Elephas maximus indicus: one gene and its partners. The protein of the gene in region 1 purifies or fractionates together with the protein of each later gene. This does not show direct contact. Links are inferred from orthologs where the notes say so. Each region holds a gene or a part of one and is shown on either strand. Other genes may lie near its edges.

Evidence for each region. The genes of interacting proteins can lie anywhere in the genome.
Region 2: the proteins of HNRNPU (region 1) and HNRNPAB purify together in Homo sapiens (affinity purification with mass spectrometry; 4 studies listed by BioGRID and IntAct, with this or other methods). This does not show direct contact. The link is inferred for Elephas maximus indicus from reciprocal best matches to the Homo sapiens genes HNRNPU and HNRNPAB.
Region 3: the proteins of HNRNPU (region 1) and FUS purify together in Homo sapiens (affinity purification with mass spectrometry; 7 studies listed by BioGRID and IntAct, with this or other methods). This does not show direct contact. The link is inferred for Elephas maximus indicus from reciprocal best matches to the Homo sapiens genes HNRNPU and FUS.

Annotation. Positions count from the first base shown.
Region 1 is NC_064842.1:19,263,257-19,273,344, forward strand, and holds the start of HNRNPU (heterogeneous nuclear ribonucleoprotein U), read left to right. Parts: upstream 1-5,537; 5' UTR 5,538-5,779; coding exon 5,780-6,467; intron 6,468-7,323; coding exon 7,324-7,435; intron 7,436-7,521; coding exon 7,522-7,595; intron 7,596-9,548; coding exon 9,549-9,688; intron 9,689-10,088. UniProt on the Homo sapiens protein: DNA- and RNA-binding protein involved in several cellular processes such as nuclear chromatin organization, telomere-length regulation, transcription, mRNA alternative splicing and stability, Xist-mediated transcriptional silencing and mitotic cell progression.
Region 2 is NC_064820.1:198,349,742-198,360,056, forward strand, and holds the start of HNRNPAB (heterogeneous nuclear ribonucleoprotein A/B), read left to right. Parts: upstream 1-5,982; 5' UTR 5,983-6,188; intron 6,189-6,297; 5' UTR 6,298-6,321; coding exon 6,322-6,530; intron 6,531-7,303; coding exon 7,304-7,472; intron 7,473-8,135; coding exon 8,136-8,294; intron 8,295-8,448; coding exon 8,449-8,580; intron 8,581-10,315. UniProt on the Homo sapiens protein: Binds single-stranded RNA. Has a high affinity for G-rich and U-rich regions of hnRNA. Also binds to APOB mRNA transcripts around the RNA editing site.
Region 3 is NC_064830.1:90,406,459-90,416,303, forward strand, and holds the start of FUS (RNA-binding protein FUS), read left to right. Parts: upstream 1-5,512; 5' UTR 5,513-5,578; coding exon 5,579-5,591; intron 5,592-7,113; coding exon 7,114-7,138; intron 7,139-7,232; coding exon 7,233-7,387; intron 7,388-8,689; coding exon 8,690-8,834; intron 8,835-9,022; coding exon 9,023-9,216; intron 9,217-9,405; coding exon 9,406-9,616; intron 9,617-9,845. UniProt on the Homo sapiens protein: DNA/RNA-binding protein that plays a role in various cellular processes such as transcription regulation, RNA splicing, RNA transport, DNA repair and damage response. Binds to ssRNA containing the consensus sequence 5'-AGGUAA-3'.

The sequences.
Region 1 (10,088 bases):
AAAAATACATTGGAAAATGCATCTTAACATATTTAATTGCTTCTTTCATTAATTTAAGTTAAGGAGCCCTGGTGGCAGAGTGGCTAAAGTGCTTGGTTGCTAAGCGAAAGGTCAGTGGGTAAGGTTAGTGGTTCGAACCCACCAATTCAGTTTAAACTGGACTTGCAAAAAGGAACCCTAGTAGTGCAGTGATTAAGAACTTGGCTGCTAATCAAAAGGTCTGTGGCAGGAACCCACCAGTAGCTCTGTGGGAGAAAGATATGATCTGCTCCCATAAAGATAATACCCTTGGAAACCCTATGGGGCAGTTCTTTTACGTACAGGGTTCCTATGAGTCAGGATCAACTCATTGACAATGGGTTTGGCTTGGTTTTGGGTATACTATTAAAAAAAAGAGTTAAATGGAAAAATGTCATGATTAGTAAAGCCCATGTTGAGTCTACTTAATTGAGCATTTGTCAGTTCATGTCACTCCTCTGGTAACAACCCTTCCACATCTTCCCTGTCACTGGAGGCAAAAGCCAAAATCCTTACAAAACCACCTGCAATCTGCATCTCCCCGCTTCGCTCTTACCCCTGATCACTGTTGTTCCCCTCAGGCCTCTGCGTTTGCTGCTCCCTCTGCCTCCACCTCCTCTAGTGTATGCATTTATGTTAACTTATTAGTTGGGTTTCCCTGACCACCCCATTTATAACTGAAAACTCACCCCCATCTCAGCACGTCCTGCCCCTCTCGCTATGAATTGGAACCAACTTGATGGCAACAGGTTTCAATGGGTACTGTCAACATCTCAATTATTTTATTTATTTACTAACTCTTCCTAAGACAGTGAAGGTGTGTTTGCATGGTTCACTGCTGTATCCCTAGTAGGCTAGTGCCTGGGTTAGAGAAGGTGCTCAAAAAAATATTTGCTGAAATTTTGTGACAAAGTATAGCATTTAGGTATATAGGTGTCCCCTGCTTTTTGAAAATTCATTTTATACCACTTCCCTTTTAAGAAAGACCTACGTCAGTACCTGTTTTCACTAACGGAAAGAAATCCGAAGAGGATTTCCACTTTTACCAAAAAAAAAAGGCTAAAAGTGGCAATAGCATTCAGAGTTTGTTTTGCAGCAAGCCATTAAACAGGCAGCGTGTACCCAGAGCAGCAAGAGTGATGTTGCCAAGCCCCTTGCCCGGGAACTACACTCAGCATCTTAGCATCAAGCCACCATAACTTTGTGAGTATCTGTGCTTTATCTCGATTTATTTTGTGCATCTGTTAGCATGATGCATCTTAAAGTATCAGAAAAGCCTAGGTGAGCTCGTAAGGGTGTTACACTTAGTGTAAAACTGGACATTTTACTACACTCTACATACATTATTTTTATTTTATACAGGCTGCGTATTTATGTTATCATTTCTGCTTTTACTATATGTCAGCGTTGTTTTAAGTTTTATGGGTTACTTGGTATGGTTTGGTAGGTTATGTACTGGGTCTGAGAATGCTCAAAATTTTTTCCTGTATGAATTAATGGTAATTGTGTCTTTGTTTTATGCCGTTTTGGCTTACCAAAGATTTTCATAGGAACAATCTCCTTTTGGATAGCGGAGAAAGCCTGTATTTCTTTCTTTCATTCAAACTCAAAATGTAAGCTATATATTCCGAGCACCCAAACTTTGAAATGACCTCTCATAGACCTATTATCCATGGATAATTCGATAATCACTTTTTGCTACTGAGAGTTAATTTGTGCCCTCTTCCACTCTGTATTCTTGGTAGGCTCTGGGACTTCAAAAGGAGGGAATTTCAAGTTCCTTATAGATCCCTCAGAAATTCAGGGGGTAACATATGATCAGGAACCGATCACTGAAGGAAGAAGTCCAAATGTCACCGAAGGCACTGGAGAAAAACAAGCCTCTGGGAACTGACCGAATACCAACTGAGATGTTTCAACTAATGGATGCAGCGCTGGAAGCACTTGCTCCTCTATGCCAAGGAATTTGGAAGACAGGTACCTGGCCAATCAACTGGAAGAGATCCATATTTATGCCTATTCCCAAAAAAAGGTGATCCAACCGAATGCGGAAATTATCAAACAATATCATTAATATCACATGCAAGCAAAATTTTTCTGAAGATCATTCAAAAGCGGTTGCAGCTGCATATCTACAAAGAACTGCCAGAAATTCAAACCAGATTTAGAAGAGGACGCGGAAACAGGGATATCATTGTGGATGTCAGATAGATCCTAGCTGAAAGCACAGAATACCAGAAAGATGTTTACCTGTGTTTTATTGACTATGCTAAGGCATTCACCTGTGTGGATCATAACAAATTTTGAATAGCATTGCAGAGAACTGGGAATTCCAGAACACTTAATTGTGCTCATGAGGAATCTGTACATGGATCAAAAGGCAGTCTTTTGAACAGAACAAGGGGATACTGAGTGGTTTAAAGTCAGGAAAGGTATATATCAGGGCTGTATCCTTTCACCATACCTATTCAATCTGTGTGCTGAGCAAATAATCCAAGAAGCTGAACAATATGAAGAAGGATGGGGCATCAGGATTGGAGGAAGACTCCAAGTGACACAACCTTGCCTGCTGAAAGTGAAGAGGACTTGAAGCACTTACTGATGAAGATCAAAGACTACAGCCTTCAGTATGGATTGCACCTCAACATAAAGAAAACAAAAGTCTTCACAATTGGACCAATAAATAACATCATGATAAACGGAGAAAAGATTGAGGTTGTTAAGGATTTCATTTTACTTGAATCCACAATCAACACCCATGGAAGCAGCAGTCAAGAAATCAAAAGACGCATTGCATTGGGCAAATCTGCTGCAAAGACCTCTTTAATGCATTAAAAAGCAAAAATGCCACCTTGAGGACTAAGGTGCGCCTGACCCAAGCCATGGTGTTTTCAAACGCCTCATATGCATGGCAAAGTTGGACAATGGCTAAGGAAGACCAAAGATGAATGGACACCTTTGAATTGTGTTGCTGATGAAGAATATTGAATATATCTTGAACTGCCAAAAGAAGGAACAAATTTGTCTTGGAAGAAGTACAACCAGAGTGCTCCTTAGAAGGAAGGACAGCAAGACTTACATCTCACATACTTTGGACATGTTATCAGGAAGGATCAGTCCCTGGAGAAGGACATCATGCTTGGTAGAAGGTCAACAAAAAAGAGGAAGACCTTCGTGAGATGGATTAACACAGTGGCTGCAACAATGGGCTCAAGCATAGCAACAATTGTGAGGATGGCACAGGACTAGACAGTTTTTCATTCTGTTGTGCAGAGGGTCGCTATGAGTTGGAGCTGACTCGATGGCACCTAAGAAGAATAACAACAACAACCCTGAACTTTTGTTAGTCTCTGTAGAACAGGTCTATCATGATAGTATTAAAAGCATAAGAAGCAAAAACAATTAGTAAAATAAGTCACTATTTGTACTTTCAGTGGAAAAATAAAAACATCTCATGGCAGATTTCTTCCTTTTGTAAAAAAGGAAGAGTAAGCTGATGTTTTTTTGAGCATTTAGAAAAACTATTACCCTTTCAAGTGTTGTCTAAGGCTGTGCGATGATATGAAACAGCATTGGTGTGGGAGCAGGGACCGCAGTTTCCTTGTGTGTAGAATAAGCAGAGTAAAGATGATCTCCAGGCTCCATCCAGCTCTAAAAGTCTACAAACCTCTTGGAGATAAAGCCAGGGGACCTTTTAGTGTGCACTTAAAGGTATAGTTCATAGTTTATTATTACAACTGATTTACTACCAAGAATGGCTATTATAAATCTTATATTTAGATATATGAACTTTATTTTTGTAATTTAGTTTTTTCCAGTTAAATGGAAATTGTTTTCATATCACTAATGTCTAAAAATGCAAGTAATATCTAAAAAAAAAAAAAAAAAAATTTAAAGACCACCAGAATAATTGTATTTACCTGACTCATTAGGGGCTAATTAGTGTGTGAATGTGTGAGCCTCCTGTAGCTCTCTTCCTATTTTTGAACAAGGACAAAGAGTTCAAATTCTATTTTGTACCTTTTTTATAAGCTTCAAGGACATTATAACCAAAGGCTAAAATGAGTTTTTGGCACTATTTGGAAGTCTATTTTGGGGGCTATGCCCACCACCTCAGTTAACCTGAAACGAGAATAACCAGTACTGTACATTGTTTATTAATTTCAACTCAAATCATTTCACAAATGTTAATATTTTATCTTTAGCCGTGCATGCATGGTGAGGTACATACTTCTTAACAGCTCCAAAATACAAACTTTTAAAAGAAAATTTATTAATCAGTGAAATCACACTAGCCTATGGGAGAAAGTTAAGTACACATTTCTATACTTCCAAATTTCAAATTAACATTGGCGCATTTTTATGCCAGCTAAAGCACCTAACAGTTGGCATAACTGATCTCCTTAGTCAGATAATGGAAGACTGGCTGGTCACTGCGCAGATTTTCTGCGGTTTCTGAAGTTCATCTCTATCACAAATCTCAATTCTGGTACCCCTATCAAGACTTCAAAGACATGTGACACCTTTAATTTAATAAAAAGAAAAATTAAATTTCTAAAATACAACAGAATAACAGATTTCGAGAGTGAAAGTCTATTTTTTAAACAAAATCTTAGCCCTTTATTTTTCATAAGCTTTTATAGTTTCAGCATGATTCGATTGACCAGTTTTAGTCCAGTAGGAATAAAAGTGCACGACCTGGTTGGGTTTCATCCTCATTGTTGGCTACTGGGATTTCATAACTGATGACCAGGTCCTAAATTGGTCAGCGTATTGTTGAATATCCGTCTTTTTGGTGGGTAAACTCAGAAACGCAGTTCTCGGACTTGTTAAATTCTGTGTCTATTAAAACCAAGAGAACAGCTCCCATGCAAAGGCCTGTGAAGTGTGCCATACATTACAGAAGACCGCGCTCTTAAAGCAAGTTTCTATCTCCCAAGCCTGCACCAAGACAAAAGAAAGGCTCTGCCCTCGCCCTTCAGAATTTAAAATTCAATTCGCAAGGCAAAAAATTAGACGTGGGGGGGCGGGACTCTGCATATAGCAATTGCTCATTTGTGTTGTACAAATCAAAACCGAAATAAAACTTGGAGTTTTAAACAAATAGCGGTTGAAATATATAAGAAAGCAAATCTAAGATGGAAGGATAAAAAGGTTGGGGATTTGAATTGAAAATGCCAAGTTGAGGACTGAAAACATTTGGATACAAGCAGCCTCCGGCCTGGAAAAGCAAAAAGCAAAACGGAAATCGGCACTAAAAAATTAGAAAGGCCAATAGGTTTTGCAGCAGGTCGGTTTAACTGAAAGGCGGTTTCCTTTTCCTCCATTTGCTCAGTCCCAATTGGAAGCGCAATGCGCGGCCTGCGCCGCGCTCTCGGCCCGGGATTCGGCGTGGGGGCGGGGAGGTAAGTACGGTAATGGGGCGGGGCCAAGGCGCGGGCGCGCTCCGGCTTTCCTACTGCGCAGCGCTACCGTAAGCGGGGGGGCGGGGCGGCTATATTACGTGCGCGGCGCCGCCCCTGCGAGAGGACGTTGCGTGCTCGCTCGCGCCAGGCGAGTCTCCGCGTCTCCCTCGCGAACTGGGTGAAAGGAATTGGCGCCGTTCGACACCAGGCGGGTCCGCTCTGCAGCACGAACCCACCTCCAGCCGCAGCCGCAGCCGCCGCCCGGGCCGAAGAGCAGCAGCAGCAGCCGCCACTAGTGGCCGTGTGCGCGGAGCCGAGTTTGAGCCAGCACCTAGCGGTGAATCGGGGTCCTCACGATGAGTTCCTCGCCTGTTAATGTAAAAAAGCTGAAGGTGTCGGAGTTGAAAGAGGAGCTCAAGAAGCGGCGCCTTTCCGACAAGGGCCTCAAGGCCGAACTCATGGAGCGACTCCAGGCCGCGCTGGACGACGAGGAGGCCGGGGGCCGCCCCGCCATGGAGCCCGGGAACGGCAGCCTAGATCTGGGCGGGGATTCCGCCGGGCGCTCCGGAGCAGGCCTCGAGCAAGAGGCCGCGACCGCCGGCGACGAGGAGGAGGAGGAGGAGGAAGATGAGGAGGAAGGGATCGCCGCCCTGGATGGCGACCAGATGGAGCTCGGGGAGGAGAACGGGGCCGCGGGGGCGGCCGACTCGGGCCCTATGGAGGAGGAGGCCGGCTCGGAAGACGAGAACGGCGACGATCAGGGTTTCCAGGAAGGGGAAGATGAGCTCGGAGACGAGGAGGAAGCCGCGGGCGACGAAAACGGGCACGGGGAGCAGCAGCCGCAACCGCCGGCGACGCCGCAGCAACAGCCCCAGCAGCAGCGCGGGGCCGCCAAGGAGGCCGCGGGGAAGAGCAGCGGCCCCACCTCGCTGTTCGCGGTGACGGTGGCGCCGCCCGGGTCGAGGCAGGGCCAGCAGCAGGCGGGAGGTAAGAAGAAGGCGGAAGGCGGCGGAGGCGGCGGTCGCCCCGGGGCTCCGGCGGCGGGTGAGTGCTGCGTTGTACGTTGCGCGCGGCGGGAGGCCCGCGCGGGTGGGGACCGTGCCCCAGGCCTGCCGGAGCCCCGCCAGGGGGAGGGAGCCCTGCGGGGGCGTCGGGCCAGGGAGGCGCGGAGCCTGCTGGTGGCTGGCTTGGTGGGGGGGGTGCGGGGAATCCCGGATTAGCCGTGAGGCCTCGGCCTTGGTGTGTGTGACGGTGGCGACAGCGCCTCCATTATGTGGCTCGAGAGCCGGGAGCTGCAGCTGCCGCCGGTGGGGGGGCGAGAGGAGCGGGCGGGCGGCGGCAGGGAGCCCCGTCGGCCCTCGGTGGCGCCGCCGCGGTGCGTGCGCGCGGTGCGGGCACATGTCTCGGGGGGAGGGGAGAGGCCCGCGGTCCTGGGGCGGGCGCGCTTTGGCGGCTCTTCGCCGCTGTATTGTGCAAGGAGCGCAGGGGCCTGGCGTGACGTCACTTCCGGCGGGCGGAGCCGGGCGGAAGATCAGTACAAAGCGGCCGAGGAGCGCGGGCCCGGGTGGGGGAGGGGAGGCCGCGGGAGCGGAGGCCCGGCCCTTCCCCCCTTCCTGAACTCTCTTCGGGGTACACGTGGGCTCTCGGCTTGCGCCGCGCAGGTTTTCCCTGCGCTGTCTCTAAAATCGCGGAGTAGACTGGCAAAACGAGCGCTGTCTAGACTGCGTCACTAGCTCAAATCCTGTTGCACTGATTGTTGTTGGAAATTCACAATTGGTTTGTCGATTTAAAGTTTTTTTTTTTAAAAAAGAACAGGAGAGTCGAGCCTTTTGGCGTTTCAAAATAGAAAAGGTTTTTTTGTTTTGCGCCTTGGCCTCTTATAAGGTGTCGTGTATTATAGGAGACGGCAAAACAGAACAGAAAAGCGGAGATAAAAAGAGAGGTGTTAAAAGACCTCGGGAAGATCACGGTCGTGGATATTTTGAGTACATTGAAGAGAACAAATACAGCAGGTAGAGGATGCTAACCGAGTTTAATTGTCACCTGTTCATCATTCGTTGATGGAAAAAGCTGTATCAGGAGACAATTTCTCTTTCAGGGCTAAATCTCCTCAGCCACCTGTTGAAGAAGAAGATGAACACTTTGATGACACAGTGGTTTGCCTTGATACTTGTAAGTGAAGCTATTTTTCCTCCCGCCCACTTTCTCATGCGGTGATTTTTGGTTCCAGTACGTTAGAAAACAGTGCTGTATGTTGAATATAGAAAATTTAGTAAGGTTAAGTAATTTGTTAAATATAAGTAAGATGTGGTCTGTATTCAGATTCTGGCAGCTAAACATTTAGTACAGCATCAGTTGTATTGATAATTTCACAGGTTTTAGTGATTTAGTAATTTTTATATAAGTTGGAAGTTTTTACCAGGAATATAAAATTAATGCCAATTTTTGACTAATTAGTTAATTCAAACTTGTAAGACTACCCATGAATTGTCCTAATAGGGTTCTATGGTAAAGTAATTACATTTTTTGTAGCATTATGTAAAGTGAGCTATTTGGGCTAGTTGAATACTTAGTAATGGGTTTTTCCGTTAGCACACAAGTATATTCCCTATTCTGACAAAAGATTGTAATAATACTTTTTCAATAACTGCTCTTTTGTTCTCAATTCCAGTTCAGTAACTGCTGCTTTAACATAAGTTGATTTCCTCCAAAGACCTGGGCAGCAGCAGTGGGCTACCACTGGGCCACTAGTTTCTTCAGCAGCGAATGGTATCAATGGCAGCACTGTAAATACTGCTACTTTTGCCAGTTGGGTTGCAATTGAGTATAAGGAAGTATTGCAAACCTCTAAATGGGCCTTGGCTGTCAGCCTTGTTATCTTTTTCATTGTAAAAATTGTTAGTTTAGTATTCGATAGAACACAAAGCTTTTTCAGAGAAGTAGAATAAGGGGTGGAAATAATGGCTTGAAGTACAAGCAGGTAAGATGGTGACCTGCCCTGTAGATTGAAGATATGCCCTGTAGATTTATTCAGATTTGCAAGAGTAAATGTAAAATTCTTGATTTCTTTTTAAACACTATTTATAAGTAGCTGAGATACTCATTGAGATTTTTAAAAAAGCCTCACATGGGTAAGTCCTTCTTTGATTTGAAAGTTCATAGTAAATTCCATTGCTTAAATATAAAGTCACTAGGAATTTTTGGAATGCCGAAGTAATGTTGCAAGAAGGTAAGGCCGCCATTAGAAAGTAAATACGTCTTCAGCAGATTAGAGATAGCAATTCAAGTGCAGTATTGGGTTCAGATAGGTTGTATATGATGCAAGTTCTATCTGTGATAAAAGGAATTTTAAGAGCAAAGATAGTTATGGAGGATTACAAACTGTAGCATTTATTTACTCCAAAAATAAATAAATAAAACCCCGGGTTTGTGACTCAGTGTTGGCTCTCAAGTGTGAACGCTGAGAAGATGCATTCTGATAAGCCAGTGACCCACAGATAGCTAAGAAGCTTTGGATGATCCAGGACATAGATAATCCCATCCCTACTGACTGACAAGCAATCCTTCAGAAAGGGGCTATAATATGAACACCTTTAGACCAGAGTTACACCATGTAGATCAAGGCTCCCCTCCCAAGTTTTAGAACAGAGTTTGGGGCCTGGAGGGCTGTTGTTCAGTTACAAAGGGCAAACTCAACAGCTCATAATCCTACTTTAAAATATTTGGCCATGGCCTCCCTTCAGTTTATTGTGGCACTGGTAAATTCAGCCTGGTTCTGGCATGCTTCGCTTTCATTTTCTGCTATCGTCTACTGCTTGCCTGTATGTCAAGGTAAAGAGCAGAGCAGGTATGTATTAATGTCACATTGTCTTGATTACATGCTTAAAACTTAGTATTTCTTAGTTTTACAGGCAGTTTATGCTTTAGCTTTTAATTTGGTAATATGAGTGATTTTTTTGGTGGGAGTGGGGTTTGAATTGAAACTAGGACAGCATGATACGTTGAAAAATAAATTTGATGCAGCATCAAGAAATGCAAAATTTTAATAACCAAGTTTTGTCTGTGTAGCAGAAATGTTCACATTGATGTCAAAAGAATATAATGTGATACTTGATATAATTACAGATAATTGTGACCTACATTTTAAAATATCAAGAGATCGCCTCAGCGCTTCTTCTCTTACTATGGAGAGTTTTGCTTTTCTCTGGGCTGGAGGAAGGGCATCTTACGGTGTTTCAAAAGGCAAAGTCTGTTTTGAGATGAAGGTGAATGCTAATTTTGTAATGTTTTTGTGAGTTCTCATTTGCTTGACACTTACGTGGCAAAGGATCTTCCTGTGGATTAGAATAGGATCTTGGAGCCTCTGTAACTGTAAACGCTTGTTATATTAGAAATGTAAGTAGAATTTCATTGTAGAGTCGGCGCGTTCATTTAGGGTGCTTCTTTATCAGGCCACCAAGGGGTTAAATAAAAAATTAGGTTTCTGGTTTTGTCGGAGAGAAAAACATGTTGAATGTACACAAAGTTGGTAGTCGAGAACATTTATTAATATTAATTGTCCTTTCAAATGTGAATTGACCAAGTTTTTACCTCACTTTTGAATTTTAGATATAAGCTCTTAGGCTTCAATCTAAAGTTCTTAAGTTAGGAGTTGGGAGGGTCAGA
Region 2 (10,315 bases), on another chromosome or scaffold:
TCAAGAAGCGCTGGTAGTTGGAAAATATGGCAAACGATGCCAGAGACCGCATGACAGAATTTTGCAAGACCAACAACTTCTTCATTGCAAATACCCTTTTCAACAACCTAAATGGCAACTATACATGTGGACCTCACCACATAGAATACACAAGAATCAAATCAACTACATCTGTGGAAAGAGATGATGAAGAAGCTTGATACCATCAGTCAGAACAAGGCCGGTGGCCAACTTCCGAACACGATTCATTGCTCAGATGAAAGTTCAAGCTGAAGCTGATGAAAATTAGAGCAAGCTCAAAAAAAAGAAAAAAACCAAACCCATTGTGGTCGAGCCGATTCCGTCTCATAGCGACCCTATAGGACAGAGAAGAGCTGCCTCATAGGGTTTCCAAGGAGCACCTGGTGGATTCGAAATTACACCCTTGAGTGTTGTCATGGATTGAATCATGTCCCCCCAAAATTTGTGTATCAATTTGGTTAGGCCATGATTCACAGTATTGTGTGATTGTCTACCATTTTTGCATCTGTTGTGATTTTCCTGTGCTGTAAATCCTGTCTCTATGGTGTTGATGAGACGGGATTAGTAGCAGTCATATTAATGAAGCAGGACTCAATCTACAAGATTGGATAGTGTCTTGAGCCAAACTCTTTTGAGACATAAAAGAGAGAAGTGGGCAGAGAGACATGGGGACCTCATACCACCAAGAAAGAAGCACCAGGAGTAGAGCATGTCCTTCGGACCCAGGGTCCCTGCACTGAGAAGCTCCTAGTCCAGGGGAAGATTGATGACAAGGACCTTCCTCCAGAGCCAACAGAGAGAGAAAGCCTTCCCCTAGAGGTGACGCCCTGAATTTGGACTTCTACCCTCCTAGACTGTGAGAGAATAAACTCCTGTTTGTTAAAGCCATCCACTTGTGGGATTTCTGTTATAGCAGCACTAGATAACCAAGACAAGTATATCCCACCTGAATTTAGAGACCATCTCAAGAGATTTGATGTATTGAACACTAATGAACAAAGACCAGATGAGTTGTAGAACGACATCAAGGACATCACACACGAAGAAAGCATGAGATCATTAAAAAGACAGGAGAGAAAGACCAAAATGGATGTCATAAGAGGCTCTGAAGTTTGCTCTTGAATGTTGAGTTCCTAAACGACGAACTAAAAGAGCTGAACAGAAGATTTCAAACGGTGCTTGAGAAGACAAAGTAAAGTATTATAATGACATGTGCAAAGATCTGGAGTTATAAAGCCAAAAGGGAAGAACATGCTCGTCATTTCTCAAGCTGAAAGAACTGAAGAAAAATTCAAGCCTCAAGTTGCAATACTGAAGGATTCTACGGGGAAATTTTTGAACAACACAGGAAGCATCAAAAGAAGATGGGAGGAATACACGGAGTCACTTTACCAAAAAGAACTGGTCGACATTTAGCCATTTCAGAAGGTAGTGAATGATCAAGAACCAATGGTACTGAAGGAAGAAGTCCAAGCTTCACTGAAGGGAATGATGAAAAATAAGGCTCCAGGACTCAATGGAATAACAATGTTTCAACAAACATGCAGCATTGGAGGTGTTCACTAGTCTATGTTAAGAAATTTGGAAGACAGCTTCCTGGCCAACCAACTGGAACAAATCCATATTTGTGCGCATTCCAAAGAAAGGTGATTAAACAGAATGTGGAAATTATCGAACAACATCATTAATATCACACACAAGTAAAATGGTACTGAAGATCATTTAAAAGCAGTTGCAGCAGTACACTGACAGAGAACTGCCAGAAGTTCAAGCCGGATTCAGAATAGGACATGGTATGAGGGATATCATTGCTGATGTCACATGGATCCTGGCTGAAAGCAGAGACTACCAGAAAGATGTTTACCTGTGTTTTATTTGTCATGCAAAAGCATTTGACCATATGGTTCATAACAAATTATGGATAACACTGTGAAGAATGGGAATTCCAGAACACTTAATTGTGCTCACGAGGAACCTGTATTTAGACCAAGACGCAGTAGTTCAAACAGCACAAGGTGATACTGCATGGTTTAAAGTCAGGAAAGTTTGCATCAGGGCTGTATGCTTTCACCATACTTACTCAATCTGTATGCTGAGTAGATACTCTGAGAAGCTGAACTATATGAAGAAGAATGTGACATCTGGACTGGAGGAAGACTCATTTACAGTCTTTGATATGAAGATGACTACAACCTTACTTGCTGAAAGTGAAGAGGACTTGAAGCACTTATTGAGAGTACAGCCTTCTGTATGGATTGCACCTCAACATAAAGAAAGCAGAAATCATCACAACTGGACAAATAAGCAACCTCATGATAAATGGAGAAAATATCGAAGTTGTGAAGGATTTCATTTTAATTGGATCCACAATGAAGGCCCATGGAAGAAACTGTCAAGAAATCAAATGACGTATCGCATTGGGCAAATATACTGCAAAAGACCCCTTTAAAGTGTTAAAAAGCAAAGATGTAACTTCGAGGACTAAAGTATTTTTAATTGCCTCATATCCATGTGAAACTGGGCAATGAATAAGGAAGACTGAAGAATTGATTCCTTTTAATTATGATGTTAAAGAAAAATGTTGAATATACCATGGACTGCCAGAAGAATGAACAAATCTGTCTTGGAGGAAGTACAGCCAGGATGCTCCTTAGAAGCAATGATGGTGAGACTATGTCTCACGTACTTTGGACATGTTATCAGGAGGGACCAGTACCTGGAGAACGACATCATCCTTGGTAGAGAGTCAGTGAAAAAAAGGAAGACCCTCCACAAGATGGACTGACACAGTGGCTGCAACAATGGGCTCAAGCATAACAATGATTGTAAGGATGGCAAAGGACTGGGCAGTGTTTCGTTGTGTTGTACATAGGGCCGCAATAGCTAGAACTGACCCAATGGCACCTAACAACAAGTGACAGAACCAGACTTGTGTTTTAGAAAGAGTCCTCTGGCTGTAGCCAGAGTTGGCCCTGGAGCAGGGGAGCTGGAGCCCATTTGGGCAAGTGTGGGAAGTGGCCAGAGTGGGAATTGGCCTCAGCAGAGTCACAGCATACCTGCAGTTAACTCACACAATTGCCACCTTGCAGGCTCAGCTAAAAAAAAAAAAAAAAAAAAAGGACAACATGAGAAAAATAGGTTTGTACAATTAAAAATAAATAAAAACCTGTCCAAATGCATTGTGCCTGTCCTCTGTATTCCAGATCTAAGATTGTACACACTCTACATATGTATTTCTATACAGTTTGAATCCCCAGAGTCCAGGTTCTGTACACTAGGCCGTGTAATGGGTTTCTAGGGGGTAATTAAGCCCCTGGATGACTTGAGAACCTCATTGCCATGGAAGGTATTCTTTACTTAAGGTCTGTAACCAAGATCCAATAACAAGAGGGGAGATCCTTGTGTCAGAGGGACTCCCTACTTCCTCCAAACAGCCTGGTGTCCTGCCTTGGTCCAAAACACCCTTGGGTGCAGTATAAAGCATTCTGTGCTGAGGTTGATCCCTGCCTGTTCACAGTTCTTTATAATTTACCACATGTTTTCTAAGCCATTGTCTCATTCTAGCTTCACAAAAATTTAATCAGATATGAGATCTTCTAAATTAGACCAAGGAATCAAAGCTCAGAAACACTGTGGCCCACAGCAGCCAGGAGCTCTGGAAACAATCTCCAATCCAATTGGAAGTGATGGCTTTTCAGCCACACTTTTTAGCCATGCAATTTCAGTGTTCTTGGGTATAAAGTATGGATAACTGCCTGTCTTAGGCTGGGTTCTCTAGAAAAGCAAAACCAGTAAAATGTATAAATACCTGTATAGACAGATCTTATATCATGGAAATGGCTCACTCAATTGTAGAGGCTGGAATGTCCCAAGTTTGTGGATCAAGACAGAGGCTTTTCCTGATTCACGTGGCCACAGAGTCTGGCGAACTCAAGATTGGTAGGTAGGAGGGCAGGGCTATTGCTCATAAGCTGTGAAGATTCAGGAATCCCAAGATCAGCAGATAAGCTGTTAGCTCAGGTCTCAAGACTGGGAGGTCAGACAAACAGAAGGCAGCTGCAGGATCCAGAGCAGCCAAAAGCCAGAACGTCCACTTAAATTCGGATGCAGGCCACATGCCCAAAGAAACAGCAGATCCCATCATGGGGGTAATCACATACAAACACTGAGAATCACAGCCCAGCCAAGTTGACACAAAACATTAACCATCACACTGCCCAAAGCTATTTTGAAGCTCCAATGAAGCAATGTTGGTAAAAGCATTTTGCAAACTGTGAAGCACTGTCCAAATCCTGTTATGATCAAACCTGACCTGTCATTGAAAGCATTTCTGAGTTCTGCTAAAGGAATCCATGTGGATGAGTGCAGGAAACTAAGTGAAACTAGGCCCTCAGTAGTTATGTCCTGGGGCTGCATTTACACTATTTGACTTTGAACTCAATCGCCTGCATCACTTTGATTGCTTGGGCAGCTTCACCCATCTTTTGTTGGCCACATCACTGGCCCTTATTTCTGTGAGTGGGCAGGGCAGTAGGTGGAGTTGGGCTGGGGAGTTGGTTGGGGACTTCCCCACAAGCCTCACTGCCAGATTTCCTGGCAGTGACATGACTAAGGTTTTATGGAGATATGTGAATTTCAGTCAAGGAATCTAGCCTGAAAGAGTGAAGAGGTAAGGTAGTCCCTGGGGTGAACCACAGGGCACTGGCTCACCTGGGGGTAGCTCTTGATTGCTGCCTTGGAGGAAAACAGCCCAGTGTGGCCAAATCTTCAGATTTTTGTAGAAAGTCTGAAGTCTAGATTTTTTTTTTATTTTTAATTAATGTGATTGTCAGTTTTCATTCTCACAGTAATTCCATTGTCCAGCTAACTGGATTAGGGCAGGGTTGGCTGTGTGGCCTTGGCCATGCTGTTGCCTTCCATTTTCTTATTTATAAATTGGTGACTGTGATGGTACCACCACCATAGGGTTGTTAGGAGACCAAATGAGAGAACAGAATGCTCAGCCTGTTGCACAGGGCCTGGCTGCAGGAATCTAGCTGGAAATATCAGCTACTTGTGTTCTGTTGCTACTTGGTGAATCCAAGCTTCTGAGGATGTAATCCTGGGCCTTTTGGGGCCCCAAACCCAAATGATTAAAAGCAATCATGGGGTAACGCAAGCCTTTGAAGCCTGGTAGATGATATAAAGCGATTTTGTATCTCCGTGTATTAAAAAAAGATAATCAACCACTGTCCCCCGCAACTCATGATTTCACAGGCGTGGTTATGCTTTGTTAAAAATAAATTTTAGCAAAAATGAACTAATCTAAAGGAAAGATTTAGGTAAACAAAACTATAACTATGATGCTAATCACCGATATGGTGCGCACCGAGGATTGGGGAACACCGTGATCCATGGCTCTTCCCCCGCCATTGGCAAGATGCCCCTCCCCCCCGCCCCATCACTGTAGGAAGGGGAAGCAGCAAAAAGGCAGGGAGCGGGGGGCTACGAGGGGCTCCAAGGGCAAAGAGGAGCGCGGTCTGAGAACCCATGCGCCCAATCCCGGAAGCTCAGACTCCGGCGCCCGGCTTCTGCCTCTTCCAGTCGGGCGACCTTGGACTGCGAGACTTCCTCGCGCCGTTCCCCTTTTGAGAAGTGAGGCGGTTGAGGCCGCCAGTGCTGGGATGGGGGTAACGGGAGCTAGCGGCTACGGCCTCAGGGAGTCAGGGTTCGTTCTGGGCTTCTCCGAAGCTGGGCTCCGGCTGCCGTGCAGCCGGAACACGCCACCATCCCGCCCGGCCTCCAGAACCCTCATCAAGGCCCCAAACTCGCGCGGGTTCTAAGATGAGGACAAAGCCCGCCCGGATCTAGAGCGCGCGCGCCGTCGCAGCCAATGATATGCCAGCCTAAAGCTGAGTGACGGGAGACCGCATCCAATGAAGACGCGTCTTGTTGCGAGGTGGCCCCAGCTTCGGCATTATAAAGAGCGCCACGAGTCGGCATTGTCAGGCGGCGGAACCGCGCGGGCCGAAGAGGGCTTTGAGTCGGTGGTTCTGCCCGGCGGCAGTCGCGGCAGCGGGAAGGGGGTCGGGTCAACCCCGGCAGCGCGAGCGTGAGCGGGGCCGAGCCCGCGGCGCCTTCCCCGACAAGTGGGAACGAGCGGGCCCCGCAGCGTCATCGGCGGCGAGGTAAGCGGCCCGGCCCGTGAGCCGGCGGGCAGGCGGGTGGGCGCTCGGGAGGTCGGGGCGGGCGCCGGGCCAGCTGACGCGGGTCGCCGCTTGGGGCCTTTCGTTGCAGGAGCCGCCGCGCACCGGCCTAGGCATGTCGGAAGTGGGTGAGGAGCAACCCATGGAGACGACAGGCGCCACCGAAAACGGACACGAGGCCGCCCCCGAAGGCGAGTCGCCGGCCGGTACCGGCAGCGGGGCCGCGACAGGGGCCGGAAGCGGGACCGCGGCCCCCCCGGCGGGGACTCAGAACAGCGCCGAGGGAGACCAGATCAACGCCAGCAAGAACGAAGAGGACGCGGGGTAGGTGCCGCGGGCGGCCGGGGCGCCGCCTTTGTTCCGGGCCTCCTTTTGTTGGCGCCACGCGGCGGGGGGAGGGGCGGCGGCGGCCCGGCCTGGTGGCGGCCGCGCGGGTCTGGCCTCCGGGCTCGCCGCGGGCCTCCCCTCCGGGCTCGCCGCGCCGCCGCTCGCGCCGGAGTTTGCCGGAGTTTGTTGGGTCGACTTTGGCGCCGCCCCAGGGCCGCTCGCGCCGTGCGGGGCGGACCGCCGAGAGGAGGGACCGCGCTCGCACCCGGGGCCAAGCCGGGTCTGGGCTCGAGCTGCGTGGGCGGTGTTGGCGCGCGCCCCGGCCTAGGCCTTCCTCCCGCCTCCCGCCGTCGGGGGCGGAGTCGGGCTCAACGTGGTCTCGGCTCCCGGAAGCCTCCAGTTCCTCGAGCGAGATTCCGGGAGGAGCTAAAAAACAGGGGTCACGATAGACCTCTGAAAAGCGGATTTTAGGCGTATTAAATTCCAGTTATGAGTGGTCAGGGTCTGTACCCTTGGCGAGGTTGTTCTTCCTTTCCTCGTTGGGTGAGAGACCTGGGGGTATGCCGTATTAAGCATTGTAAGGGTCTAGGGTCACTTGGGGGTAGTGGAGATGTACATCTTTGAGAGTAAAATCCTAACAGTTTTCAAGGGTTGTGTAGGCCTTTGTGATGGTGGCCTTACTTGTAGTTCTTTCGGTTTTGGGAGGGTCAGTTCTTTCTGAAATCATGCTGTTCTTGTAAGACTTACTTGTCCTCACCCTACTGTTACAGAAAAATGTTTGTTGGTGGCCTGAGCTGGGATACCAGCAAAAAGGACTTAAAAGACTATTTTACCAAATTTGGAGAGGTCGTTGACTGTACGATAAAAATGGATCCCAACACTGGACGGTCAAGAGGGTTTGGGTTTATCCTCTTCAAGGATGCAACTAGTGTGGAGAAGGTAAGCTGGGGACTTTGTGTCAGCAATCTTAATACATAGGGTTTGAGTTGAGAACATTGTTCATTCTAGACTGATTAGTTTTTGTGCTCTGCATGTGGCTGAGTGCTTTGGGAAAAGCAGAGCAGTTAGAGGTTGTGTTCTTGAAGAAGCAAAAGTACAGATAAAATGGGAAGAGAAGAGTGTGGGCTGGAGTGGTCAAGGAAGATGAGGTTAATTAGATTATTTTTCTGTGTGCTTATCTTCAGTAAAGATTAGAGAAGAATCTATAGTTGCTATGAGGTAGGTATTTTTAGCACCGTCTTACAGTTGAAAAAATAAAGGCTCAGAATTTTATGAAGCAATCACACAACTAGTAAGTGGTGGCAGGAGGATCCATAGCCCAGCTCCAGCCTGTACTCTTAATCACTGCTGCTTTATTTCTGGAGGAGTCATGCCTTCCACTGGGACCGCCTGAACAGGAAGAAAGTCAAGGGTGGGACTGATTCATAGGTATTAGGGTGCTTCAGATTTTGAAGAAAATTGGGTTGGGAAGTCAGGCTGGGGTAGAGTTTGGAGGAGTTGAAGCACATATTGTGTACCTGCTTGGGAGTTTTGTGGCTCAGAGAAGGGCATTGCCTAGGGTCATGCAGCTAAGTTAGACCTAGTCACCTTTTTTTGGAACAGGTGTTAGACCAGAAGGAGCATAGGCTGGATGGCCGTGTCATTGACCCCAAAAAGGCCATGGCCATGAAGAAGGACCCAGTGAAGAAAATTTTTGTTGGGGGTCTGAATCCCGAAGCCACTGAAGAAAAAATCAGGGAGTACTTCGGAGAGTTTGGAGAGGTGAGTGTGTTCCCAGGAGTCACCTGCTAACTGCCCTGAGGCTGCTTTGCTCTTGGTCCTTGGCAGCCTTGCCTGGCCAGTGCCTTTTTTCCTTGTGTCCTCTAGGCTCTGGGCCAGGGGAGGCACACACCCTGAGCTTTGCCTGTGTTTACAGATTGAGGCCATCGAACTTCCCATGGATCCAAAATCAAACAAAAGACGAGGCTTTGTTTTTATCACCTATAAAGAAGAGGAACCTGTGAAGAAGGTTCTGGAGAAAAAGTTCCACACTGTCAGTGGAAGTAAGGTAGTGTGTCCATATGTCTGTATGCTTGGCCTCCTGCTGCTAGAGAACTGGCCCTTCGCATGTGTGGGCTTTGTAGACCCAGGTGGGCTACCTGCAAGAGCTCTCAAGAGTGTTTGGCCCTTACTGTTTGTCTGCAGCGTCTGCTGCCCTGGCTGGGGCAGGTTGAATATATTGGATGAGGTACCGGCCTTCAAGTAGCTCTTACACGGTAGAGCTGGCAGTTAACTGGTTGTGAGGGATGCAGGAGAGTTGGCATGGTGTCTGTGGGAAGAGCAAGCTGGGGGTATCCTTTCCCGTATGAAAATAAGGTGGGGGTGTTCTGGATCTTGAGTCTAAAGTATGTGAATCTGGAGTTGAGGTCTTGAGATGGTATGGAATTTATGCCGCTCACTATTTTTCTCTGTGGTGAAGCCTGCTCTGCTGCAGAGCTTTGCTTCTATCTCCTTTCTTAAACCAAATCTTGGCTCCACTTCATTTGCTGTGGGTATTACTTTAGTCACCCCCCACCCCAGGCAAAGGCCCTTCCCAAAGAGCTCCCAGGGACCTGGCTAGTTGAAATCCAGAGCCAGTTTTGCCTTCAAATAAGTGGATCCTGTGCAGTGAGAGGTGGAGTTCTTCCCACTGAACTCTGGGCCATCCAGGCTTCAAGTGTTCCACCAGGCAGCCGAGGAGGCAGTTGGGAGCTGAGGGTGCGGCCTGGGTGTGGTGAGTTCTGTGTCTGAGCAGGAGTGGCAGCCAGATAAGGTGGGACAGGTAGGGTGGGGCTCTTGGAAGCTGCTGTCGTTGCTGGGAGTTTGTGAAGGTTGGATTCACTTTAGGGGCTGCTGGGTGGGGCATTCTTAGTTAATTACGCACCCCCCCCCCACAATGCCATCTCTGGCTATTTTTTTTTTTTTTTAGCCTACTGTAGTGTGAAACAGTGGGAGAAAGAGCCTAGGGCAGTGCTAGTGAGACTGCTGGGGGTGGGTCTTGAAATAAATGTGTTTACTTCATTGTATTCGGCATTTCTAATTCAGTAGACTAGGATACCGTAGAGTGTATCACTTGTAGAGGTGACCTGTCACTTTTTTAGGAAGAGTATGCTTGTATGAGGATACTGTGTAAAGTGGTTTTTACGGCTTTTAATGGGGGCAGGGGGTGTGTCAGGAGACTTATTTTATACACTTAACTAAGTAGCATTTTGAAGGGCCGCCACTCTACCTTACACCACCCCCAAACCAAAACCAAACCCAGTGACGTCAAGTCAATTCTGATTCATAGTGACCCTATAGGCCAGGGTAGAACTGCCACATAGAGTTTCCAAGGAGCTCTCTATAGGACAGTAGAATTGCCCCATAGGGTTTTCAAGGAGTAGCTGGTGGATTCGAACTGCCAACCTTTTGGTTAGCAGCTGAGCTCTTAACCATTGCTCCACCAGGGCTCCCTCACCCCCAGTGAGCAGGTTTTTTGACCAAAAATGAAATTGACTCTAGGATACAGAGAACCTAAGCATCCAGCCCCTCCTGACAATAGGCCAGTGGGTTGGAGCGTGGAGGGAGAAAGGGTTGGGTGGAGGTAGCTGTAACCTCATGCGGCCTAGACCCCTGAGGGCCTGGCTTTCCCATCTGTGAAATGAAAGACAGGATCCCCTTAATTTGACGTTTGAGTAGAATGCCTCACTTTTTTCTCTGTATCCTCAAAGGTCCATCCAGCCCCAGCCGTCTTTTATCTGGGAAGCCTTTCCTGATCTCCCAGT
Region 3 (9,845 bases), on another chromosome or scaffold:
AGGGTCGCTATGAGTTGGAATCGACTCGACGGCAACGTGTTTTGGTTATCTTAAATATTTGAAACTATCTTATATATTTTTTACATTCTACTGTATGTCAAAATTATGAAAGTCGTTGGACTTGCCAGTAGATCTTTATACTTAATGCATTAGTATACCACAAAGATGTTTTTAAAAATATTTTGCTAACTGTGTTTCTATTCAATTGGTTTTCTTTGTATTCTTATGAAATTTGCTTTATGCATTTAAGAATATTATTCTGAGCTCCATAGCCTTCAGACCCCCAAGGGGATTGGCACAAAAGAGGTTAAAAACCCCTGGTCTGGAAGGAGGTCACAAAAGTAACATCCTCTAAGGGCCAGCTGGAGGCCTGAAAACCAGGTCCTCTTTGGTTTTTCTACTTTTGAAGGAAAGAAATATCTCTCCTTCCTTTTAACTCCAAGAAAAGCTGCTTTAACACCTGAAACAAATGGCAATGAGCACTGGCTTCTGTGTCAAAACATTAGGGTGTAAGAGAGGCTGAGGGGAACTACAAGCACTGACCCCAGCTAAAGGCAGTAGCTTCTTGTTCCAGCTGACCCTTGCCCTATGGGAAAGAGAGCCCAGGAGGGCCAAAGCCTCCATTTTTCAAGAAAAGTCAGAAGTTTGTGTTTTTGTGCAACACTTCAGTATTGTCAATGTCGGCAATTAGTTAGTTTCTTAAAATTGTGCTTTAGGTGAAGGTTTACAGAGCAAATTAGTTTCTCATTAAACAATACGCATATCGTTTTGTGACATTGCTTGCCTAGTTAAATAGTTTTAGAAACAACATGTAGGCCACATTTCATGCCAGGCCACAGTGGTGTTGGGTCTTGAAAGAGAAGCAAAGGCTGAAGACGGAACCTCAGAGAACACTGCTGTCTACAGGGAGAGCAGAAGAAGAGACTGTAGGGAAAGGAGACAGTGGGAGAGGTGGGAGGGTGAAGAGCAGGGGTGTCAAGTAAGGAGGTTTTTGAGAAGGAGTGAGAGGCCCCCATGTTGTGTGAATCAGGAGAGGTCCACTGAGAGAGAAAAGCCCTGAGAAATGGCGGCTGGAACGCAGCTTTTCAGCGGTCACAATTTGAGCCTGCCACTCTCCACCACTCTGTCGCATGAGTGCCTTTATTCACCCATGCTATTCCTTCTGCCTGTTATACCCCTTCCTCCCTTGATGCTTGGAGAACTGCTACTTATCCTATCAGGCCTGGCTTTAATGTTACCACTCCTCTTTAGTGTTCTTTGGTTGTCCACTTAGAATCCCTGGGTGGTGCAAATGGTTAACTAACCAAAAGGTTGAAGGTTCAAGTCTACCCAAAGGTGCTTAGAAGAAAGGCCTGGCAATCTGCTTCTGAAAAGTCAGCCATTGAAAACCCTATGGAGCACCGTTCTACTCTGACACACATGGGGTCACCATGAGTCAGAGTCAACTCAACAGCAACTGGTTGTCCACCTGATGGATCACTTCCTTTCTCAGCAGTGTTTCCAGAGTTCTTGATTCCATGTTATAAAACTTAGCATATTTGATTCAAGTACACTTTGAAGTTCATGTGCCACTGTTACCCACTGGCCATAAGGTCCTGTGATTCAGGAACCTGGTCTTTTTTTATCCATGCTATGCAGTGCTCAAACTATGTTTGCTAAGTGTAGAGTAACAAGCGGCAACTCTGAGTCCGCCTCCTTAGGTTGAGAACCTGGCTTTGCCACTTTCTGTGTGGCCCTGGGCACAGCTCTTGACCTTTCTGTACTTATTTCCTCATCTGTAAATTGTAATCCTCACACCAACCACATAGGCTTACTTGTTTAAATAAGATTAAACAAGTTATACTCAAAGCACTCAAAACAGTGCCTGACACTTAATAAGCCTTATCAAAGTGCTAGCTATTATAAATATATTATGTATAGCTATAACACATAAGGAAACCCTGGTGGCATAGTGGTTAAGTGCTACGGCTGCTAACTAAAGGGTCAGCAGTTTGAATCCACCAGGGGCTCCTTGGAAACTCTATGGGGCAGTTCTACTCTGTCCTATAGGGTCGCTATGAGTCAGAATCAACTCGACGGCACTGGATTTGGTTTTCGGTTTTATAACACATAAATATAATATGTATTTTTATTATTAGGAATTGGTTGACCTGCAACCATTTCAAGAGGTAGCATATGATCAGGAACCGATGGTACTGATGCAAGAGGTCCAAGCTGCACTAAAGGCACGGGCAAAATACAAGTCTCTAGGAATTGATGGAATAACAATTGAGATGTTTCAACAAACAGAGGCAGCTCTGGAAGTGCTCACTCGTCTACGCCAAGAAATTTGGAAGACAGTTACCTGGCCAACCCACCAGAAAAGATCCATATTTATGCCTATTCCCAGGAAAGGAAATTCAACCAAATGCAGAAATTATCGAACAATATCATTAATATCACACACAAGAAAAATTTTACTGAAGATCATTCAAAAGTGGCTGCAGCAGTATATCATCAGGAAACTGCCAGAAATTCAAGCTGGATTCAGAAAAGGATGTGGAATGAAGGATATCATTGTTGATGTCAGATGGATCCTGGCTGAAAGCAGAGAATACGAGAAGGATGTTTACTTGTATTTTATTGACTAATCAAAGGCATAGTGTGGATCATAACATCTGTGGATCATAACAAGTTATGGATAACATCGGGAAGAATGGGAATTCCAGAACACTTAACTGTGCTCATGAGGAATGTACACGTAGATCAAGAGGCAGTAGTTGGAACAGAACGAGGGGGCACTGCGTGGTTTAAAATCAGGAAAAGTGTGTGTCAGGGTTGTATCCTTTCACTATACCTATTCACTCTGTGGAAACCCTAGTGGCGTAGTGGTTAAGAGCTACACCATTAACCAAAACGTGGCAGTTCGAATTCACCAGGCACTCCTTGGAAACTCTACAGGACAATTCTACTCTGTCCCATAGGATTGCTATGAGTTGGAATCAACTTGACAGCAACAGGTTTGGTTTTTATTCATTCTGTATGCTGAGCAAATAATCCAAGTAGCTGGACTATATAAAGAGGAATGTGGCATCAGGACTGGAGGAAGACTCATTAACGACCTGTGTTATGCAGATGACACAATCTTGCTTGCCGAAAGTGAAGAGAACTTGAAGCATTTGGTGATGAAGACCAAAGATCACAGCTTTCAGTATGGATTATACCTCAACATAAAGAAAACAAAAATCCTCACAAATGGACCAATAAGCAGCATCACGATAAACAGAGAAAAGATTGATGTTGTCAAGGATTTCATTTTACTTGGATTTACAATCAACACCCATGGAAGTGGCAGTCAAGAAATCAAACAATGCATTGCTTTGGGCAAATCTGCTGCAAAAGATCTCTTTAAAGTGTTGAAAAGCAAACATGTCACATTGGAGATTAAGGGGCGCCTGACCCAAGCTATGATGTTTTTGATTGCCTCTTAGGCATGTGAAAGCCGGATGATGAATAAGGAAGACCGAAGAATTGACACCTTTTAATTGTGGTGTTAGCAAAGAATATTGAATATACCATGGACTGCCAAAAGAACAAATAAATCTGTCTTGGAAGAAGTACAACCAAAATGCTCCTTAGAAACAAAGAGAGCAAGGCTACGTCTCACATACTTTTGGACATATTATCGGGAGGGTTGATATCGGGAGGGTTGAGTCTCTGGAGAAGGATGTCATGGTTGGAAAAGTAGAGTGTCAGCGAAAAAGAGGAAGACCCTCCGTGAGGTGGGCTGACACAGTGGCTGCAACAATGGGCTCAAGCATAAGGATTGTGAGGATGATGCACGACCGGGCAGTGTTTCATTCTGTTGTACATAGGGTTGCTATGAGTCAGAACCTAACCAAAACAACAACAATCTATAGATATAACACATATCAGTATTAAATGCTAGCGTCATCTGTTTTTACACTAATGCATCTCCACTGCCTAGAACAGGGTCCACCAGGGCTCCCTTGTCTGGAACCCGGTAGGTGTTTAATGAATATTTGTTGAATGAATGAATCAATGATGGATTTCCCTTTGCCCTCACTTCAGAGTTTCATTACCCTTCCAAAGCGTGTGTGTGTGTGTGTGTTCAAGGCCCAAATCAGAGGTTTAATGGAAGTTTATGGGCAGGTTGGGTCGTACCCCTCATTGTTTCTCTAGAAAAACGCGTCCAACCTACAAAGTGACTTCTGGAGAAGTAAGTTGGGAAGGAAAATTTGCATGGCATGTTATCAGGAGTAACCTTTGTTTTATTCTAGAGTTAAAAGTTGCCTTCTCCAAGCAAGGCTTATTATAGAGTGGAAGTTGTGAGTTAATCTGAATTTCATTTTTTCTCTTTGCTCTCAAGGGAAGTGAACAGGCTTCTGAACACTCCAAAGTGTTCATGTAGCCAACAAAAGGAATGTTTTGCAGTCACACAGACCTGGATTCAAATGGCACCACTGACCTTTAGCTGCCCTACAATCATGGATTTACTTGGCCTGAGACTCACTTTTCTTACCTATAAAACGTAGGAAGCCTTGGTGGCATAGTGGTTAAGTACTATGGCTGCTAACCAAAGGGCCAGCGGTTCAAATCCACCAGGTGCTCCTTGGAAACTCTATGGGAGTGTCGGTATGAGTTGGAATCGACCGCACAAAATGGTGATGGGAACGCAGTTATTGCGCATTTTTAAACCACTTACGCCTTATAACAAATGTCATTTATTACTGGCATCTCTAAACTGGTGCCTTGGTGGGGATTCAGGAGAATAAAAGGTAGCTCCCAAGGTTCTCCGAAGTCCAGGGAGGTGTGGGCTTTCCCCTCCCACGGCTAATAAGGGGCAAAGCCTGAAGGTTTGGGCGAAACGCGCCTGGGCTAAATCTATGCTTCCTTTCAAATTAAATTAACCTCAAAATCTACACACCCTCGTAGGGACTGAGAATAGGCAGCCATGAAAAATGAAGTGAAAATTGAGGCAGTGAGAGAGTTCATGTGCGTCGGAAAAGGAGCGTTAGAGTCAGCGGGGGTGTGAGTGTGCAAGGGAGGTTGGCGGCGGGCGGCACAGTTCAGCTGGCGAAGCGGAAGGCAAGAACTCCCTGTCCTGAGTGAAAGCGAGGCCCAGTGAAAGCGGCCAGAGACGAGAATTTCGCTTCCCGCCCAGCAAATCCCGGCTTTGACTACCGCCGGCTCCCTGGGCCCTTCGCCCCGCCCCCAGCAGGTCATCGGACTCTACCATTATGCAATTACAGGGGTAGAGGAGAATCGTGGGGTAGCGCGTCAGAGAAAATTAGAGTGTTTTATAGGAAAGTATGATTATATATTATGATTATTAATATTCTAGGTTAATATGCTTCTTCCTGAGGCCTGAACTGTCTATACTTCTTGAAGCGTGGTAGAATCCAGCCCTGCTTCACTTTTTCTTTTTCCGCATTTGGTACAGTCCCCTGCTGTACGTAGGCGGGGGAGGCGTACATAAGCCTCGACGCAGGAGGCGGGGTTGCTCAGTCCTCGAGGCGTCGGTGTTCCGTGGTGGTGGAATCTTGTTGCTTGTCGGCTTGTGCGCGCGTGCGCGGACATGGCCTCAAACGGTATGTGTGTGGGCGCGAGGCGGCGGTGGCGCGCCAGCCCTAAGGCCTCGTTTCCTTGTAGCTGGGCTTTTGTTTTTCAGTGGGACCGGGGCGGCGACTGCGTGTGGAATCGTCTCCACGCACCCCTGGGGCGGGAAGCAGCGGAGAAGGGTGGGAGGGGGAGGCCGATGTCGCCATTTTGTTTCGTTCCTTCGGGGCCTGCGAGCGCGGGGTGGGTGGGTCGGTCTTCCTTTTACTTGAGGTGGCTGTGGGGGGAGGGTGAGGAACGTTTCTTGATGATTTGAAGCATGAGGTAAGGATGGAGACGGTCGGACCCAGGAGAGGCTTTTCCTTCGCTCCCAGCCCCGCGCTCTAGACCGCTTTGTCGCAGTGCTGCATCCGGGCACTCGGTGCGCGCACGCGCTCTGGCGGTCCCTCCCCTTAGCTGCGCGCACCCTTCTGCCGCCTCGTGCTAGCCCCGTTTTTTGTCGCGAGGCCCTCCGCTGGAGAGCCTGCGGCGTGCGTCCGGTGTGACACCGTCTCACCCCCGGGGTCCCTCGGGAAGGGGCGGGACTGCTCCGTTCCCGCCTTGGTTGCCACGCGGCTGGGGGCGGAGGCTCGGGATCAGGGCCACGCACTGGCCTAACGGTCTGGGGGCAACAGGAAGAGAGACCAGGGGATTTGGAGACCAGACCCGAGGATTTTCCCGCCTAAATTTTTTTTTTTTGAGATGGGAGCCGAAAGGCACGGCCGCTCGGGCCACACCCTCTTCCCTTTTGCCTTTCCCTTTGGGGGAAACGCCTCATTTCCTGTACGGATGTTCGTACCTCTTTTAATCTGGCGTTATAAAAGCGCTTTCGCTCCGTTCGGTTTGCCGAGTCTCCCCAAGGCTCCAAAGAAGGCAGGGTGGATGAGGAAAGAACTCTCAAGCTTCACAGGACTGGGGACTTGAGTACCATTTGCTTCCTGAGGCGAACTGATGGCTCTCCTGTTTGGGGCCAAGGGGGGGGCGGTTCTTTTGGTTGCCTGGGTTAGTGCCAAAAGCCCACGTTGGCCGATCTGTAAGATTGGACAGAAGTCGGAAAATGGACACTTGAGACAAGAATGTCTTTGGGTTGAAAGAATGGAGACAGCATTCCGAGCGTTCCTACCTCGGGCTTGAATTCAGCCCTGTCTCTGACGTAGGGCATGTTACTCTGTCTTTACTCTTGGTAGTGCTTTCCTTAAAGAGTGGTTGTGAAAACGCATGTAAAATGTTTTAGAGCTGTTCCTTTGCAGAAAATTGTAGCTGTTTTTCCCTTTGGTCACTGCAGAGATTTGCGTTTTCTTTGTATGGTTATCATTCTTTGCTGTAAGAAAATTTGACAAATCCGCCAGCTTGCCCCTCCTCTCAACTAGAGTCTCATGGGGTAATTTATGTTTTTGTAAGTCTTGCTTGTTGTTTTTTCTTGGAAATCCCAGTGATTGAGTTAAGGAGTTTTAGCTTTATCCTACTCTTTCAGGATTGGCTGAAGGTAATGTGATTTGTATTTTCTTTTTGCAGATTATACCCAACAAGCAACCCAAAGGTGAGTGTTGAGTCTCAGCTTCCAGGGTTTGTACAGGGCAGGGTGGCCAAGGAGTCTTTCTCTAATCTGGTTTTTTTTTTTTTTTTTTGACCAGCTACGGAGCCTATCCCACCCAACCTGGGCAGGGCTACTCCCAGCAGAGCAGTCAGCCCTACGGACAACAGAGTTACAGTGGTTACGGCCCTTCAGCGGACACTTCAGGTTATGGCCAGAGCAGCTATAGTTCTTCTTATGGACAGACTCAGAACAGTGAGTCTCTTTTAGTGGGCACTTGACCTATTCCTGCATTGAGTGTTGCTTTTCTTAAACCTGAACAGTGGGGAAATGTTGAAATTGTCCTTTTTTTTTGGCACATAGCCTGTCTATAAAATGTAGAACTTCTCTGGCCAGAGTCTTTTGTTTCAAACGGAAATACATGTTGGTTTGTAACTTTTTTTCCTGCCTTTGGCTTTTTATCTTTTTAATTTTTGCTGGACCTTTTCACATTTCCCCTTTGATTATGAAAGTGAAATGTGGGGAGGGTATTCCCTGAACAGAGGAACATTTTTTAGGCTTAGGTATGGTTTACTTAAAGATGTTTAAAGTCCTGTTACCGTACAACACGTGATACACTAGGAGGTTGAATTTGCCTTGAGGCCCAGAAGGGTAAGTAAATAAGGTGAGTGGTGTTGTATGTGCTGAACACATAACCAGCATGTTAAAATGCTATTAATAAATAGGATTTTTTGGGCTACAATTAGATGGTGGTCTTAGAGACTGTCTTTGGGTCTCTTTGAACTAAAGAGTTGATAGTAAGTTGAGGCAGTAGACTTCAGGTGGAAGAGAAGTGTAAATTTAAGGCTTTGAGTTACAAGATTCACTTGTACCTTCTAAGAGGCTGACTTTTCAAGTATGGGTGAGGATCAGTTAGTGTATTGGTTACGTAGCATTGCTGTAACAAATACCACAAGTAGTTGGGTTTAACAATCAGAAATTTACTTTTTCACAGTTTAGGAGGCTAGGAGTCTGAATTCAGGGCACCTGTTCTAAGGGAATGCTCTCTCTGTCCACTCTGGGGGAAGGTCCTTGTTTCTTTTCAGCTTCTATTCCTAGGTTTCTTGGCCATCATGTGGCTTGTATTGTCCCTGTCTCTACTTGCCTGCCGGGTTACTTGCTTAATCTGCTTGTTTTATATCTGAAAAGTGGTTTAAGACACACCCTAGACGGAATCTGACTCATTAACATAACAAAATCTATTCTGAAATGGGATTATAGCCATAGGGATCAAACCCACTGCCATCTAGTTGATTCTAACTCATAGGAACTCTATAGGACAGAGTAGAACTGCTCCGTAGGGTTTCCAGGGAGTGGCTGGTGGATTCAAACTGCAGACCTTTTGGTTAGCACCCAAGCTCTTAATCACTGTGCCACCAGGTGTTAGGACTACAACACATAACTTTTGGGGGACACGGTTCAGTCTATAAAAAGGTAGTATATAACAATTTCTTCAACCCGTTTTGTACCTTCTCTCTCTTTTCATAGCCTTTGTGCTTCCTTTTCATTTCCTTTTAGCAGGCTATGGCACCCAGTCAGCTCCCCAGGGATATGGCTCAAGTGGTGGCTATAGCAGTAGCCAGAGTTCCCAGTCATCTTACGGGCAGCAGTCTTCCTATCCTGGTTATGGCCAGCCTCCAGCTCCCAGCAGCACTTCAGGAAGGTAAGGGAGGTACGAGGGGAAGGCTTGGAGTATTGGAGATGAATTGATAAAGGCATGATAATGTGACTAACAATAGGAACAATTATGAGGGATTGGGGGTGTTTGTGTTGGGTTCAGAGAAGAGGGTACGCTAGAAGTGAAAGGGTGTTTTGGCCATGCTGCTATGGTTCTGGTTTTTGTTCCTTTAGCTATGGAAGCAGTTCTCAGAGCAGCAGCTATGGGCAGCCTCAGAGTGGAGGCTATGGCCAACAGTCTGGCTATGGTGGACAGCAGCAAAGCTACGGACAGCAGCAAAGCTCCTACAATCCCCCTCAGGGCTATGGACAGCAGAACCAGTACAACAGTAGCAGTGGGGGTGGCGGCGGAGGAGGAGGTGGTGGAGGTGAGAAGGAGCTGCAGCTTTGCCTGTGTTCTCTTTACCTATTTAAGAATTTTTGTATTCTACTGCTTAGCTCTTCAAGAATATTCCTGAGTTTTCTTGTTCCTTAGGTATTTTGGGCTTGTTGTTATTGTACGTTATCTCCTGGCACTGTTGAACTTGTTTGTGTTATTTAACGTTCTTTCCTGGCAGGTAACTATGGCCAAGATCAGCCTCCCATGAGTGGTGGTAGCAGCAGCGGTGGTGGTTATGGCAATCAGGACCAGGGTGGTGGTGGCTATGGAGGAGGCCAGCAGGACCGTGCGGGCCGTGGCCGTGGCGGCGGCGGTGGTTATAACCGCAGCGGTGGTGGCTATGAACCCAGAGGTCGTGGAGGTGGTCGTGGAGGCAGAGGCGGCATGGGGTAGGTGTCTCATGAACCAGGGAGTATCTTCAGTAGGCAGTGTGGAGGGTTGCATGAATCTCCCCATAAACTCAGTCCCCAGTGCATGGTTGGTTTTCTTGTTCTCTAGGGATTTGCGAGGGCTTTAATTTAGGGGCAGTGATTGTTGCCTTGTGCATCCCTGTTTTTTTATTTTTGTGAAAATTTGGGCGCCTGAGGTTCATTCACACCTCTTGGATAGAGATTTAAG